2 linked regions of the Drosophila melanogaster genome follow. The protein of the gene in region 2 interacts with the protein of the main gene of each other region in a pairwise test. Each region holds a gene or a part of one and is shown on either strand. Other genes may lie near its edges.

Evidence for each region.
Region 1: the proteins of CG34404 (region 2) and CG14818 interact in a two-hybrid assay, tested with the Drosophila melanogaster proteins (2 studies listed by BioGRID).

The regions. Positions count from the first base shown.
Region 1 is NC_004354.4:1,878,519-1,883,743, reverse strand, and holds CG14818 (uncharacterized protein), read left to right. Parts: upstream 1-3,969; 5' UTR 3,970-4,088; intron 4,089-4,163; exon of another isoform or gene 4,164-4,185; 5' UTR 4,186-4,253; coding exon 4,254-4,332; intron 4,333-4,393; coding exon 4,394-4,605; 3' UTR 4,606-4,725; downstream 4,726-5,225. Other genes in the region: trr (trithorax-related), read left to right, coding at 1-327, 407-1,002, 1,059-1,188, 1,243-1,425, 1,496-1,588; Coa8 (cytochrome c oxidase assembly factor 8), read right to left, coding at 2,509-2,724, 2,798-3,061, 3,121-3,171; CG14805 (uncharacterized protein), read right to left, coding at 4,740-5,225.
Region 2 is NT_033777.3:15,362,211-15,370,380, reverse strand, and holds CG34404 (uncharacterized protein), read left to right. Parts: upstream 1-2,715; 5' UTR 2,716-2,946; coding exon 2,947-3,234; intron 3,235-3,558; exon of another isoform or gene 3,559-3,582; coding exon of another isoform or gene 3,583-3,717; exon of another isoform or gene 3,718-3,784; coding exon 3,785-4,034; intron 4,035-4,091; coding exon 4,092-4,421; intron 4,422-4,476; coding exon 4,477-4,610; intron 4,611-4,672; coding exon 4,673-4,974; intron 4,975-5,035; coding exon 5,036-5,746; intron 5,747-5,804; coding exon 5,805-5,937; 3' UTR 5,938-6,448; downstream 6,449-8,170. Other genes in the region: CG14868 (uncharacterized protein), read left to right, coding at 603-668, 731-1,315, 1,368-1,475, 1,534-1,621, 1,680-1,818, 1,875-2,445; CG6171 (uncharacterized protein), read left to right, coding at 6,613-7,004, 7,066-7,229, 7,284-7,495; Trax (translin associated factor X), read right to left, coding at 7,610-7,793, 7,844-8,170.

The sequences.
Region 1 (5,225 bases), on a different chromosome or scaffold from region 2:
GTCTTTTACAAGAACAAGTCCGTGCACTGCAGCGTTCATGGTCATGCTCATGCCGGCATCACGATGGGTGCAGGAGCAGGCGCCACGACTGGCGCCGGATTAGGAGGCTCTGTGGCAGATAATGAACTGAGCTCCCTGGTTGTCCACCGGAGAGTTTTTGTCGATCGGGATGAAAACCGTCAGGTGGCCACCGTCATGCACTATTCAGAGCTAAGCAACCTGCTCCGTGTGGGCAACATGACGTTCCTGAACGTGGGTCAGTTACTGCCGCATCAGCTGGAGGCCTTCCACACACCCCACTACATCTACCCCATTGGCTACAAGGTGGTAAGTACAAGTACCAGCCGGTCGGCCGCCATGTTTATGAACAGCAATCTTAAATCCCGTTCCTCTTCCTCCCCCATAGAGTCGCTACTACTGGTGCGTGCGACGACCCAATCGTAGGTGTCGATACATTTGCAGTATCGCAGAGGCCGGATGCAAGCCCGAGTTTCGCATCCAGGTGCAGGACGCCGGCGACAAGGAGCCGGAGCGCGAGTTTCGGGGCAGTTCGCCCTCGGCGGTCTGGCAGCAGATTCTGCAGCCAATCACGCGACTGCGTAAGGTGCACAAGTGGTTGCAGCTCTTTCCCCAGCACATCAGTGGTGAGGACCTATTTGGCCTAACGGAACCGGCCATTGTGCGAATCCTGGAAAGCCTCCCGGGCATTGAGACGCTCACTGACTACCGCTTCAAGTACGGTCGCAACCCGCTTCTTGAGTTCCCGCTAGCCATCAATCCGTCTGGAGCGGCGCGTACGGAACCCAAGCAACGACAGCTGCTCGTCTGGAGGAAGCCGCATACGCAACGCACGGCCGGCAGCTGCAGCACGCAGCGGATGGCCAACTCGGCTGCGATTGCCGGAGAAGTGGCCTGCCCGTACAGCAAGCAGTTCGTGCATTCGAAGAGCTCCCAGTACAAAAAGATGAAGCAGGAGTGGCGCAACAACGTCTACTTGGCGAGGTGAGACATTAGGTCCTAGTCAATAACCACTGATTACTTAAGCTCTCATTTTCTAGATCTAAGATCCAGGGTCTTGGCTTGTATGCAGCTCGGGACATTGAAAAGCACACCATGATAATCGAGTACATTGGCGAGGTTATCCGCACCGAGGTCTCCGAGATACGCGAGAAGCAGTACGAGTCCAAGGTGGGTTTCGCGACCATGTTTTCTTGTAACTTTGACTAATCTCTGATTCCCCAGAACCGTGGCATCTACATGTTCCGGCTGGATGAAGACCGCGTGGTGGACGCCACTCTAAGCGGCGGGTTGGCGCGCTACATCAACCATTCGTGCAATCCCAACTGTGTTACCGAGATAGTGGAGGTCGATCGCGACGTGCGGATCATAATATTCGCCAAGCGGAAGATCTATCGCGGCGAGGAGGTGGGTCCCGCAAATAGAAGTGTTTCGCCTGTACCTTAACTCACAATATCTCTTAAATTCTGTGCTTTAGCTCTCGTACGACTACAAGTTCGACATTGAGGACGAGTCGCACAAGATACCGTGCGCCTGTGGAGCGCCCAACTGTCGCAAGTGGATGAACTAGAGTCGGGAGGAGCCTCTAGCGGAGGACCAAAGGAAGCGCAAGAAGCGGCGGCGAGCACGTCGCTCCCAGTGAACAGGAACAGGAGTAGAGACAGGAACAGGAACAGGACTTGTATCTGATCAAGTAGCTAGATTCGCTAAGCATTATAGTTCGTGTACATTTATATATATATATATATATATATATATATATTTATATATATATAGTTTATATGCTATATGCAGATATGCTCGTGGAGAGCATATGACCTTGTAAGTTTTGTATATGTGCCCACTGTAGCCAATTCGTATCCTTTATATCGCTCTTAAGTGCAAAAGTGGAGAGTGTCTTCATAGTTTAAATTGAATAATTGCTATCGTTTCTACATAGAAAGAATATAAATGTTACTGCTAGGACACGACCACCCCTGTAATGTATTTCGGACCCCCTCTCCTCACACAGTCGCTGGAGCACCTAATTTTATTTGTTTTAGCACCATCTCCACATTCATCACTACCACCATTGCAATTATCGCGAGGAAACTGACCGCCCCGATGGCCAACCCAAAACTTGACTTTATGCGTGTGTGCCTTCCCCTCTGTTTACCATTATTATTATTATCATAATTGTAGCGGTTATCTTTCAATATTCGGCCACTTTACATGGGGAGCGATCCTTCTTTCGCTGCGTGTATCGTGCGCAACCTTCTTTGAATATATACACTGATAAGGATATGAACACCTACTTCTATTTTATTTTATTTAAATAGTTTGCGATTACTTTTAAGTACATTAACTAACTCCGAACAACGTGTATTTTTCATCCCCTTAAATAGTAGCTAAGTAAATTTTATGCCACCATTTTACGCACGTGATCTTTTATTCCAACTTATTGCAAACGGCAAACTGGAAATTACGAAATGGGGACGACAGATATTGCACCTAAGATCTTCGCTTGGCCAGCGCCAGAAGCCTCTGGAGCTGGACTGCGGCAGCCAGGGTGAGTATGTCGAAGTTCTTCAGGTACCAGGAGATGTTGTACATGATGTGGATGCGCCAGTTCTTGTCGAGGAACGCTTTGTAGAAGTGGCTCATCTGGTCCGCGGACACTTCGCTGGTTCCGCTTTCCTTGTGCAGGCGGATGAAGTCTTCCTTTTCCTGTAAACGAACCAATTCGAAAGAGACGACATTAGCGGACTAGAAAGAGATGGCACAGTGGTCGTGGTTGTACCTCGTAGAAGCGCTTATTGTGTTTTGTCCAGAAGTCCGTGTTCCATGCCTCCACCTCGATCCGCTTAAGACGCAGGCTTCTTGCCAGCCGCGTCTCCTCATCGCCGTAGTGCCGTACGTACGGACGTAGGTTTGATTGCGCGTCTGGCGGTCCTATATAGTCGCACTTCACCGTCTTGGGATCGGGCTTGTGTGGCAAACCGACGACGGGTTTTTCTTGTGGCGGTGGACATCCCGGCTGCACTGCGGCATAGCACCGCGGTAGCTGTGTAAACAAGAAATTGAAAATCCGAATCCTATAAGGCAACACACTCATGGACTCACGCTGAACTGGAAAAGCGATATCCGGGGCTGGCACCTAAAACATTTGTTCATTTTTCGGTTATGTTATGTGAGGTGCAGTGTGGCCGACTGTCACGCTAGGCAACAGATTAAATATTGATGCCAGCAAATATTACGGGCATTCGCATGCGATTCTCGACTGAATATCTGGAGTTCAGAAACCAGTAGCCAGTAGCCAGCCAGCTGATACATGTCGACAAAATCAAGAAACAGTTTCTTTTTCCAAAATGGTCGCATATTGCATGTTTCCAGTCGCAATTGAACCAATAGGAATGCAGCCTTGTGAACAGTTAGACCAAAGCTTAAGCAAGAGTATCAGAAGAGATGTGAACCCCTCTTGTTTCCCTGTTCGTGACACGCAATCGGCACGTCATGCTCGAGCAAATACCAAAATCCCTAGTAATTTGCTTGCGTTGTGAAAATAAAACGATATACATGCACATCTCTAAAAACAACGTAGAAACAGAGGCTAGTACACTTTCTGTTTATTATGCTCGCCTCATGATTGCAACAAGAAATCTACTGTCGCAATTCGATGCTTCAAAATTATTTCGGTCAAAATGGGCAAGATTATCGACTGTAGACACCAGGCGAACAGAAAACGTTGGAGTACGACCGCTGATCGCTCTGAGAAATTAAACAGCCGTTCATTGTCAGAAGGGGTCAACTCTGGCCAATCAACATTAAGCACTATGGGAAAGAACCGTTCGATTAAGTCCAGTCAACGCCTAGAGATACGTAAACCATTTGTTTCATTGTTCGTGTCACGAATTAGGCACGACATATGCGAATAAGCCAAAATTTCCCATGCTATTCCATTGGTACGTAAAAATAAAACGAGGCACGGGCACATCCCTAAAAACTAAGTGGAAACTTAGCTTTGGACTTTTGCAGTGGATTATGTTCGCCTAGTGTTTTGAGCTAAAAAGTGTTTTCGTAATTACAAAAACGTACGTATGTACTGAATTCCCCTATTAAGTTTTTTTTTTTATATCGTATTTGAACTGAGACCTATCGTTCTCTTCTAACCACCTCTATCGTTTATAGCTATCCCGTGACAATAAATCCAACTGGAAAAAACAAACGGAAAAACTCCGGGGAAAATTCCAGGGAAAATGTCACCCAAAAACAATCATGATCCCTCGTCGTCCGGCGACTCTGGCAACACCAATGTCCAGGAGGCGGACCTCCAAGGTGAGTTTTGACAGCGCCCCGTTTCTGCTCGGGATTGGCTCTAATGGAATGACCCCTACAGAGATGGAGGACGTGAACAACAGTCTGGACGCTCTCAGCTGTGCCCTGGACGCCGTGGAGCAGCGCACAGACGACATTATGTCCCAACTACGGGAGCTGCTGAACTCCAACCGAGAGATCCGTCGCCTGATTGCCGAGGAAAATGACAACGCTCCCGAATCGGGAGATGACAACATGGACGGGCAGGCGGGCAGCGAAGCGGCACCCAAGTAGATCCCTCTACGAGAAGTTATTGTTTTGTTCATCCAAATCGTTTTTAGGCACAATCAGTGCTGTTTTTTTTCTATTATCATGTATTTTTGTCCTAAGTCCTAAGTAAACGTAATTGAAAGCAAGCTTAAGGTTCACTATGTCTTCCGCGCTTTCTTGCGCTTTGTCTTCTCTGTGATTTCAGCCTGGCCATTGGTATCGCTAGTAATATACTTGAAAGCTATCTGGAACAAGCGCATTGACTGCGCTTTGAGGCGCGCATTCTCGGCCTGCAGCTCTTGCACTCTTTCGTCGCTTGTCTGTGCTGAGTCTGGCTGATATTCTGCATACGATTTTTCGGACTCAGCTTCCTTGGAGGCGGTTTCCATTGGCTCGGATTCAGGTTCTTCTTCTTCGACCTCGGAATCCTCGACATCTGTAGCTTTGGTTTCCGCCTCAATTCCTTCGTCGTCCTCGTTCTTTCCCGAACTCATGGACGCTATAAGTTTGAGTATTATCTCCTCATCCGTACCCGGATGACTTTGGGTGTAGTCCAGCTCCGGTGTCTTGCGTCCCCCGGAGTAGTCCGGATCGAAGAGCTCGATACAGTCATTCTCATCCCACGGACTAATCATTCGCTTTAG
Region 2 (8,170 bases):
GCAGAAAGGTGGTAGGGAGCTGAGTTCATATTACGAGCTAAGTGAGGAGATTGGTTTCAAAGGTAGGTTTTTATCAATTTCTGAGATCTCTTTCTTGAAATCCAAGTATATCCCAAGTGAAATGCATGCTAAAGCTTGTCGAAAAGATGGATTTCAAAACGGCCACAATTGCCGAAGTGAAAACCATTCGCAGAAGGGTGTTAAGTGCAATATCAAGTCGCCAAAAAAACCTGCAGTGAGCCAGAAGGAGTTTGGTCGCATCTGATATGTATGTCGAAAAATCCGTATTCCTACAAATAGGCAAATTGAATGAAATAAATTGAAAACTCTTTTCAAAATAATGACATTAGCTGTTTAATGATATTTACATATGAGGACAAGAACATTAATTTCAAATTAGGCTTATCGATATGAATCGAATTTCATGCGCAGGCGCATCTAAAATTGATTCACTCTAGCTGTGTGTTTTGGAACAGAATGGGGTCCTTGGAGCCCGAGAAAGTGTGATACAGCTGGCTCCTCCGGACAGCCCTCAGTTTACAATCACTGTCAATGTCAACATCTCGAGCTCGGCAAACGGAAAACCCACTCAAGCATTCGGCATGGACTTGGACGATGTGGCTAGTCATCACGGATTCGGTCAACATATGGCCACGTACAATGTAGAGGTGAGTCCGCCCCCACCCTTCGAGCGAACCAAGTGCGTTGTATGACCGACCCACCCTTACAGACCTCGGCGGTGCACAGGAAACTTCAAAGCAAGGTGGAGGCACTTCGAATCCTGCGCCAGGAGCTGGAACAGTTTCGCGTGGAGCGAGACCAGTACAAGCTGGTGGCGGAGACCCTGCAGCTGCGCTACTCCGCGCTGAAGAGTAATAGCGAACTTCTGGCTGTCGGTGGATGTGGAGCCCTCAGCGAGAACTCCAGCCTGGCAGCCCTGCTCCACGAGACGCGCGAGCAGAACCTAAAGCTCAGCACCGAAGTGGAAGCCCTGAGGCAGCGGCTCAACGAGCTGCATGGCGACATGGAACTACTCCGGGAGACGGAGGCCAGCAACAAGTCGCGGGTACAGGCAATGGCCAGCGAGAATGCCGCTCGCAACAAGGAGGAGCTGCAGTGGCGTCGTGAGCGGGCAAACTTTATCTGCCACCTGGAGGGCCTCAAAAAAAGGAATGCCCAGCTGGCCTTCGACCTGAAGGCGGTGATCGATGAGAAGGAGGAGCTGATAACCGAGCGGGATGCCTACAAGTGCAAGGCACACCGCCTAAATCATGAACTCTTTGTGGCCCTCAGGGCGAAGAAAACGCATCCAAGGGTGAGTTAACTGATGCTATATAGTACTTACTTGATAGTTATTGATTTTCCAGCTCCTGGACATCGATGGTGTTTTGCTGGAGAACAAGTACCTGCATGAACGTGTGAAGATCCAAGACAGCGAACTGGAGCTCACCAAACAGAGCATCAATAAGTACAAGGTACTGGTATTAGTTAAGACTTATTACCATTTTATTTATTTATATTTAAATCATTCAGACAATGTTGGATGCAAAACGAAAGAAGGGAATTGTAAAACTTGGCGGTGGGAGCACAAATGAGGACACCATTCTAAGCCCCCGGCAAGGTGAGTAATTATATGGTGGCCACCTCTTTCATGCCTTTCTAATTTGTTTGTACCCTAGTGAAAACAATCCTCGAGAGTGGCATTGAGCTGCCTCAGAAAACCGAGAGCTTAAGCGATCTAAAATCCTTGTGTCTGGCCCTGCTGGACAATCTCAACGACAAGAACTTGGCCCTGACGCACCAAAAGAAGACCAACAAGTAGGAAAATCCAGCTGAAAGTTGATATATATTTCATAAACCCATATTTCCTGCAGAATACTGGCTGGCAAAATGACGGAGCTGGAGCAGCGGTGGCAACAACTCCTCTCCGGAAACGATGACAACGCAGAGGAGCAGGAGGAGGACGTGGAATATGGTTATGCGCCTTCGCAGCTGCTCCTCAATGGCTATTGTGCCGCCATGGTAGATGACGCCGACATCAGCAGCACTCCGTCCATTGAGCCAGATAACGAAGGCGTCGCCATTACAGCGGATCATGAAGATTCAAAGAAGCACAAGTCCGTTGAGGCTCTGCATTCCGACGATGGAATGTCCTCGCTTTCAACGGAGTCCGTGGATTCGTCTGTGTACGGTGCAGATGTGCAGCCCGATGACTTCCAAAAGTCTTCATCCGCCACAACAGATTCGGGCAACTGTGGATTGAGCAGCCGCTGCAACGGCACGCCACGAATATCCAGTGCAGTGGCACGGGAACGTATGGAGGATCTGAAGGACCTGCCGCCTCACCTGGCCACTCTGGTCCAGAAAGCACTTCACGATCTGGACATGCGGGACTACGAGGCTATGGTGACGATACGAGCAGAGAATCTGGCGGCTATTCCTTAGAGAAAAACTAGTTCAATTGAGGACTCCCAAAGAAATGGATGAAACCATATCTCAGTGTTGACAAAAGATATAATACATATATATATTACCGCAACAGCGTACAATAAAACCAGATTATATAAAATAAATCACTTTATTCAATCGATATTGCGTTGAAACTGGATATGTACAATAACTATAGCATACAGTTTTAAAAGACGCGCCCAAGTTATCGATAAATAATATGCGGAGTGTTGCATACCGTTAGCATAAACACACTCTCACACACTCTTATTTCTGGGTATACATTTTCTGATAAGAATGCAATAAATATCCCGACTGGTTGGAGTAATTTCGAGTTTTTGAATTAAAAATGCCTTAAGAAAAGTTTTTAATGAGCCATGTAGAGTTAACACCAGTGCCACATATCCTGGGAATGGAGCACCAATCAAAAGTCATCATCAAGCGGCCCAAATCAGGCCAATTCTAGTCGGAAAGTCGTTGCAGCCGCCCATTGCCACCATGTCGAATGATGTGCAGGTCGCCCGGGTGGCCAAGATAGCTACCGATGTGCCGCGTCGCAGTGGCAAGCAGCGTGACTCCAGCGGATTCCAGGGCAAGCACTCCGGCAGCGCGGCTGGCGAGGATTTCGAGTACGTCTTCGGTAGCATTTCGCCGCGCGGTGGAGGACCCGGTGGCAGGCACTTGGTGGGATCCTCCGACCTGGACTCTCCGGAGCACACGCAGCGGGACACCACCGAGAGTGACAACAACATATCCAGCTGCTCCACGCTAGACATTGTCAACAAAGTGAGTAATGATGCCCGCACTGAGAGAAATAACTAGATCTTAAATCAAAAAAATCAATATATTAATTTGCAATGATACATTGGTACTAAACATGATCAAGTTCATTTTAAATTAATTTTTAAAATGATCACAAAATATTTAAAAATACCTCATTATTGTGTAGTTTAAAATAAGAAACGCAGAATTTTCAATCATTGGTTTTCAAAGTGTTTCGGGCTTTAAATTCGGTTGGCGTCCAGTGCGCAGATGCGTGTGGAAGGCTGAGGGTCAAGTTGCAGCGGCGGAGAGCGCGGATGCATCCGCGGTCGGATGACGACGTAATCGCCAGTCAAAATTTTCCACTGGACCATGATTTCGGAGCAACTGCTTCCGCGCAGCTTGAGCTGCCTGTGCTGCAGCGATACGCCATCGGTGCCCAACGACAAGAGACGCAGTTGGGAGTATACGCTGATGGCTCATCCTCTGGCCAGACGGCCCATAAACGTGATGACCCCAAGAATAACCACTTAGAAAGCTCTAATCCGCCTCTTTTCTTTTGATTCACCTCCAGGTTGAGCAACTGTCGGTACAACAGCTAGAAAACCGGGTGCGGGATCTAACGCAGCGTCTGCAGCAGGCGGAAAGACAGCTCACTGAGAGCAACACAGAGCGGGAAATATGCCACAAGCGCTTGGAGGTTGTCAGCCAGGCCCACGAGTGTCGCATCACAGAGATGCACTGTGTCATCGCCGAGTTAAGCAAGAAATTGCGCAGTAAGCAGGACCACGTTATCATGGAGGAGCAGGAGCCCGACGGCAGCGGTGCGTAGCAGTTTCAAATGAGGGAAACAAACCCCTAACCGACAGTCTTGTTTTCAGAACTCAGCTTTCAGGAGGGTTCAGTGTACAATTCCGAGCTTAACCTCACCAATCCTGATGCCGAATGTCAAACAGAACCACTGGAAGACTTCGAGGGCGCCTGCAGTACCACCAGCGTGGGTAACGTTGCCCACAAACCGCCGGAACTGAGCCATAAGGGACAAGTGGAGGCACTGCAGGAGGAAGTTCTGCACTTGAGAGCTCGAATCGCCCTCCTCCAGTCCGAGATTTCCACCAAGGATGCTGCTGTGGTCGAGGAACAGACCAAAGTCGCCTTCGACTGCGAATCGGAAGTCAACGAGTGCGGACAGCGACTGAATGATTTGAATGGTAATATAAATAATCCTGATGATAAAAGAATGGTTACACATTTAGATGCTTTCAGTTTGCACTTCCTTGACAAGTCCGCAAAAACGCATTCCAGCGGTACCGAAAATGGCTGAACGGGTTAAGTTGCGGTGCGCCAGCAAACATGAATCCGGAGAAGATCCATCCCAAGATACTTCATTGAGCAACGAGGTGTGTTGACCAAAACTTTATTCAGAGAATACATTTCAACCCATACAACCCATAATTTTAAGCAAATTAATCTGGTCGAACATTTGGTGTCGGAGCTAAAGGAGCAAAATCTATATATGGAGAACTTTATGGAGCCCCTACATTTGAGCAAAGACTTGGAGCGACTGCAACGACGTGTTGAACAATTGGAGATGCGAAACACCATGCTGGCACTGACGCTAGACGAATGCAAGGAGCACACTGAGCATCTGTATCTGCTATGCGGAAAGTACGAGTCCAATGCGGTTGCTCTTCAGTTGGCGCTTAATTGCAGTGATCGCGCCATCGAGGCCTACGACGTAATGTTGGCTCTGCTCGAAAGCAAGTAAGTACAATCACCATAAGACGCGGGTTGTTGTCCCTATTTCACAATTCATCACTTCCAGGTTGGCACTGCTGGGGGAGAAATCAGTGGCAGCGGAAGAGAGTCGACGATCGGTGGAGGCGGTGGCCAGGCACCTGCTAGCCCGTTTGGATAGCGAGAAAAACGTTTGTGAGAACAGCCTGGGACCGTGGCAACACAACATCAACCTGGGCCCAGAGGATGCCCCAAAAACTGGCCGCCCGTGGTGTGCCGACGACGACAACCGCCTGCGTTACCACGTCTCCAAGCTGAAGGGACGTCGTTCCAATGTCCAGCATACCATTGTCAGTTTGGAATCACCCTTCAGCGACATATACGAAAGAAAGCGCCTGGCTTTGGAAAAGGAGCACGAACTTCGGAGCGCGGACAAGAAGTCACCCATTGACTTGGAGACAGCAGTGATTATGCAAGAAATACTCGAGCTGCGGGATTCGAATTTGCAGCTGAAGACAAAAATGGAAGAGGCCGAGCAGGAACGGCAGAACGCCAACGAACGAGTGGGCATACTCCACGAAGCCCTAAAGCAGCTACAGGCAAACAACCGGGTCTCGTATTCGGAGGCGGAGCATGCGGCTCTCACAGAGCAGCAGTTGGTGGAGGCCTTAACTCGAGAAACGGAGCTCAAGGGTCGCATACAGACGCTATTGGCAAATGTAACAGCTTCGCAGAAGGCCTTCGACGAAAAATACGAGCAACTGCATCAGAACGTGCGTGAACTGCAGAAATCCAACCAGTAAGATTCGTTTTATTTTGACTGTTTCATACATAATTTCTTCATATTTCCCTTTTAGCAATCTGGGCCAAATGTTAGATCACACCAAGCGCAAGTACCAGCTGCGGGTGAGGAAGCTAGAGCAGAAGATTGTTGACCTGCGGCTGGACTACGAGCAAGGCCATAACCATGTTCCTGAGACTACTCTGTAGGAAACGCATGACGACCTTCCAGGAGGACTGAGCAACTGGGCGTGGAGCGGGCGCGCTTGTCACATATCCCGCAAAAGATCTTTCCCTCTCGATCATATCGCTTATTTTACCTTTAATGCAATGACCACCCGCCCAGCAGTCGCCGTGGATCCGCCATGACCAAGACAGTATCACGAATGTGCCATGCGACTTAATTGCAGTCGGCTGGGGCTTGGGCGGTGTCCCTGCCTCGCAGATAAGGCTGCAGTAACTACATACTCAAATACATACATATTCAGAGGTGCCATGAGCAAGGCTCCACCAACCTATCCATAGATCCGTGGGATTGGAGCATCCGTCTATGGGCCACAAGCAATTACATATACACACATACGAATAGACAAACTAAGGAGTTATTCAAGACGCATACACGGGATCCTATATTTATACAATGTATTCGCATTTTGCTTGTTATATGATTCAATATGTATTTAAAACTGTACAAAATATAAAACGTCTACTAAAACTCGATAAAATTCACGAATTTGAAATTGGCTCCAATAATTAATCGATAAGCTAATGAAACTAACTTAAGCATCCATCACCATTTCGTGTAGTGTTGCAAATCACCAGAATCAAGTATATGAGTACTTGTGAAATAAAAATGTTTTGAAAATTTAACTTAATTTACTTAAAATGAGTGCCACAGATGCATCTACAGCCGATAGTGGCGCTAAACGAAAATCTTCTGAAGATATCACACACAATTGCAACGCAAATTTTGGCGCAGAAAACGGCCTAAGAAAGCGCGTAAAATCGGAGGAGCCTGTGGCGTCCATTAAAGATGAAACAAATCCTGAAGTTCCTATGAAAATAAAAGCTGAGCCAGTGGAGAATGCAGATGAGCCCACAAGCACTACTCCTGCGATCAAGATTAAAGCCGAACCAGCGGACAATGGAAACTCACCTGCAGCTGCGATGGTAAAAACCGAGCCCACTAATAGCAATGCACAGGACGCCGCCGACGAGTCTACCGTATCTTCAAGCAGTATTAGGACTTCTTGTCGCTTCGGCATACGATGCTACAGGTGATTCACACTAACCAACTCCCATATTACCAACTAAAAATATACCTTTTTCCAATGACAGGCGAAATCCAGCTCATCGTAGTGCAGAAGCTCATCCGGGGGATCAGGATTACCGGCGACCAAACTTTCCAGCGCCACCCCTCGGAACTCCAGCTTGTCCTTTCGGTAACGCATGCTATCGCCGTAACCCAGTTCACTTCCAGGATTACTCCCATCCTGCGGATTGTAAGTAGAAGGCTTGGCATACTTCGGCTTCAAATTGGCTAAAGCCCATTGTAGTCAATTCCGCGCAGAACATTCGAAATCGTCTGCGTCAACGGCGAGCCCAACGGCAGAACGACGATGACTCGGGGACGGATGAGGAGGATGAACCCTTTGGTGGCGACAATGACAGGGATGCGGACTACCGTCCAGGCGCAGACATAAACGAAGATGAGGATGATGAGCTGGAGTTTGATAGCCAACCAATAAGTGGGGATGACTATGATTAGACTATAAATTCAAATTCGCTGTTAACTTAGATGATACGTTCCATTTGCCGAATAATAGGCTTTATATATATATATTATATTCTGTTGATGAAAACTTATGTCTATGGAGTTCCATTAGTAGAAGCCCTCGTCAACTTCATCGGCTGGCTTTTGATCAAAAGTGGCGCCCCATTTTGCAGCCTCTCCGCCGCGAACTTTTACATTGTAGCAAACATTCTCGGCCTTAAGAACGCTCTGCTTCATGGTAGTGATCTTACGCCATAGTTCACGGGCTCTCTGACAGTTTAGACTGATGTAACTGAAAACAATAGGAAGTTAATTGAGTTTCTTAAGGGAGAACTAACCAACCCGCTGTAGAAATGCTGCAGGGCCTTGCAGGTGTCCAAACAGGTGTCTGTATCTCCACTGCCTAGCGAATTTATGCAGCGGCGCATCAGTTCACCAGTAAGATCCGAAAGTCCAAGTATATATTCCGTGGGGTCTACGAAAAACTGGAACTTCTTTGGGCTCTCAACCTGAGCTATAGCCTGAACATCTTCGCCTTCAGTTGGTTCTTCCTTTGGCTGGCTGCTCTCCTCGACGTACTGCATCACCGCCTGAATGGCCTGCCAATCTGAAACGCTCTTGGTTTCGTTCTCGCCCTCAGCATCCTCGTGGCACAGGTACTCCATGTAG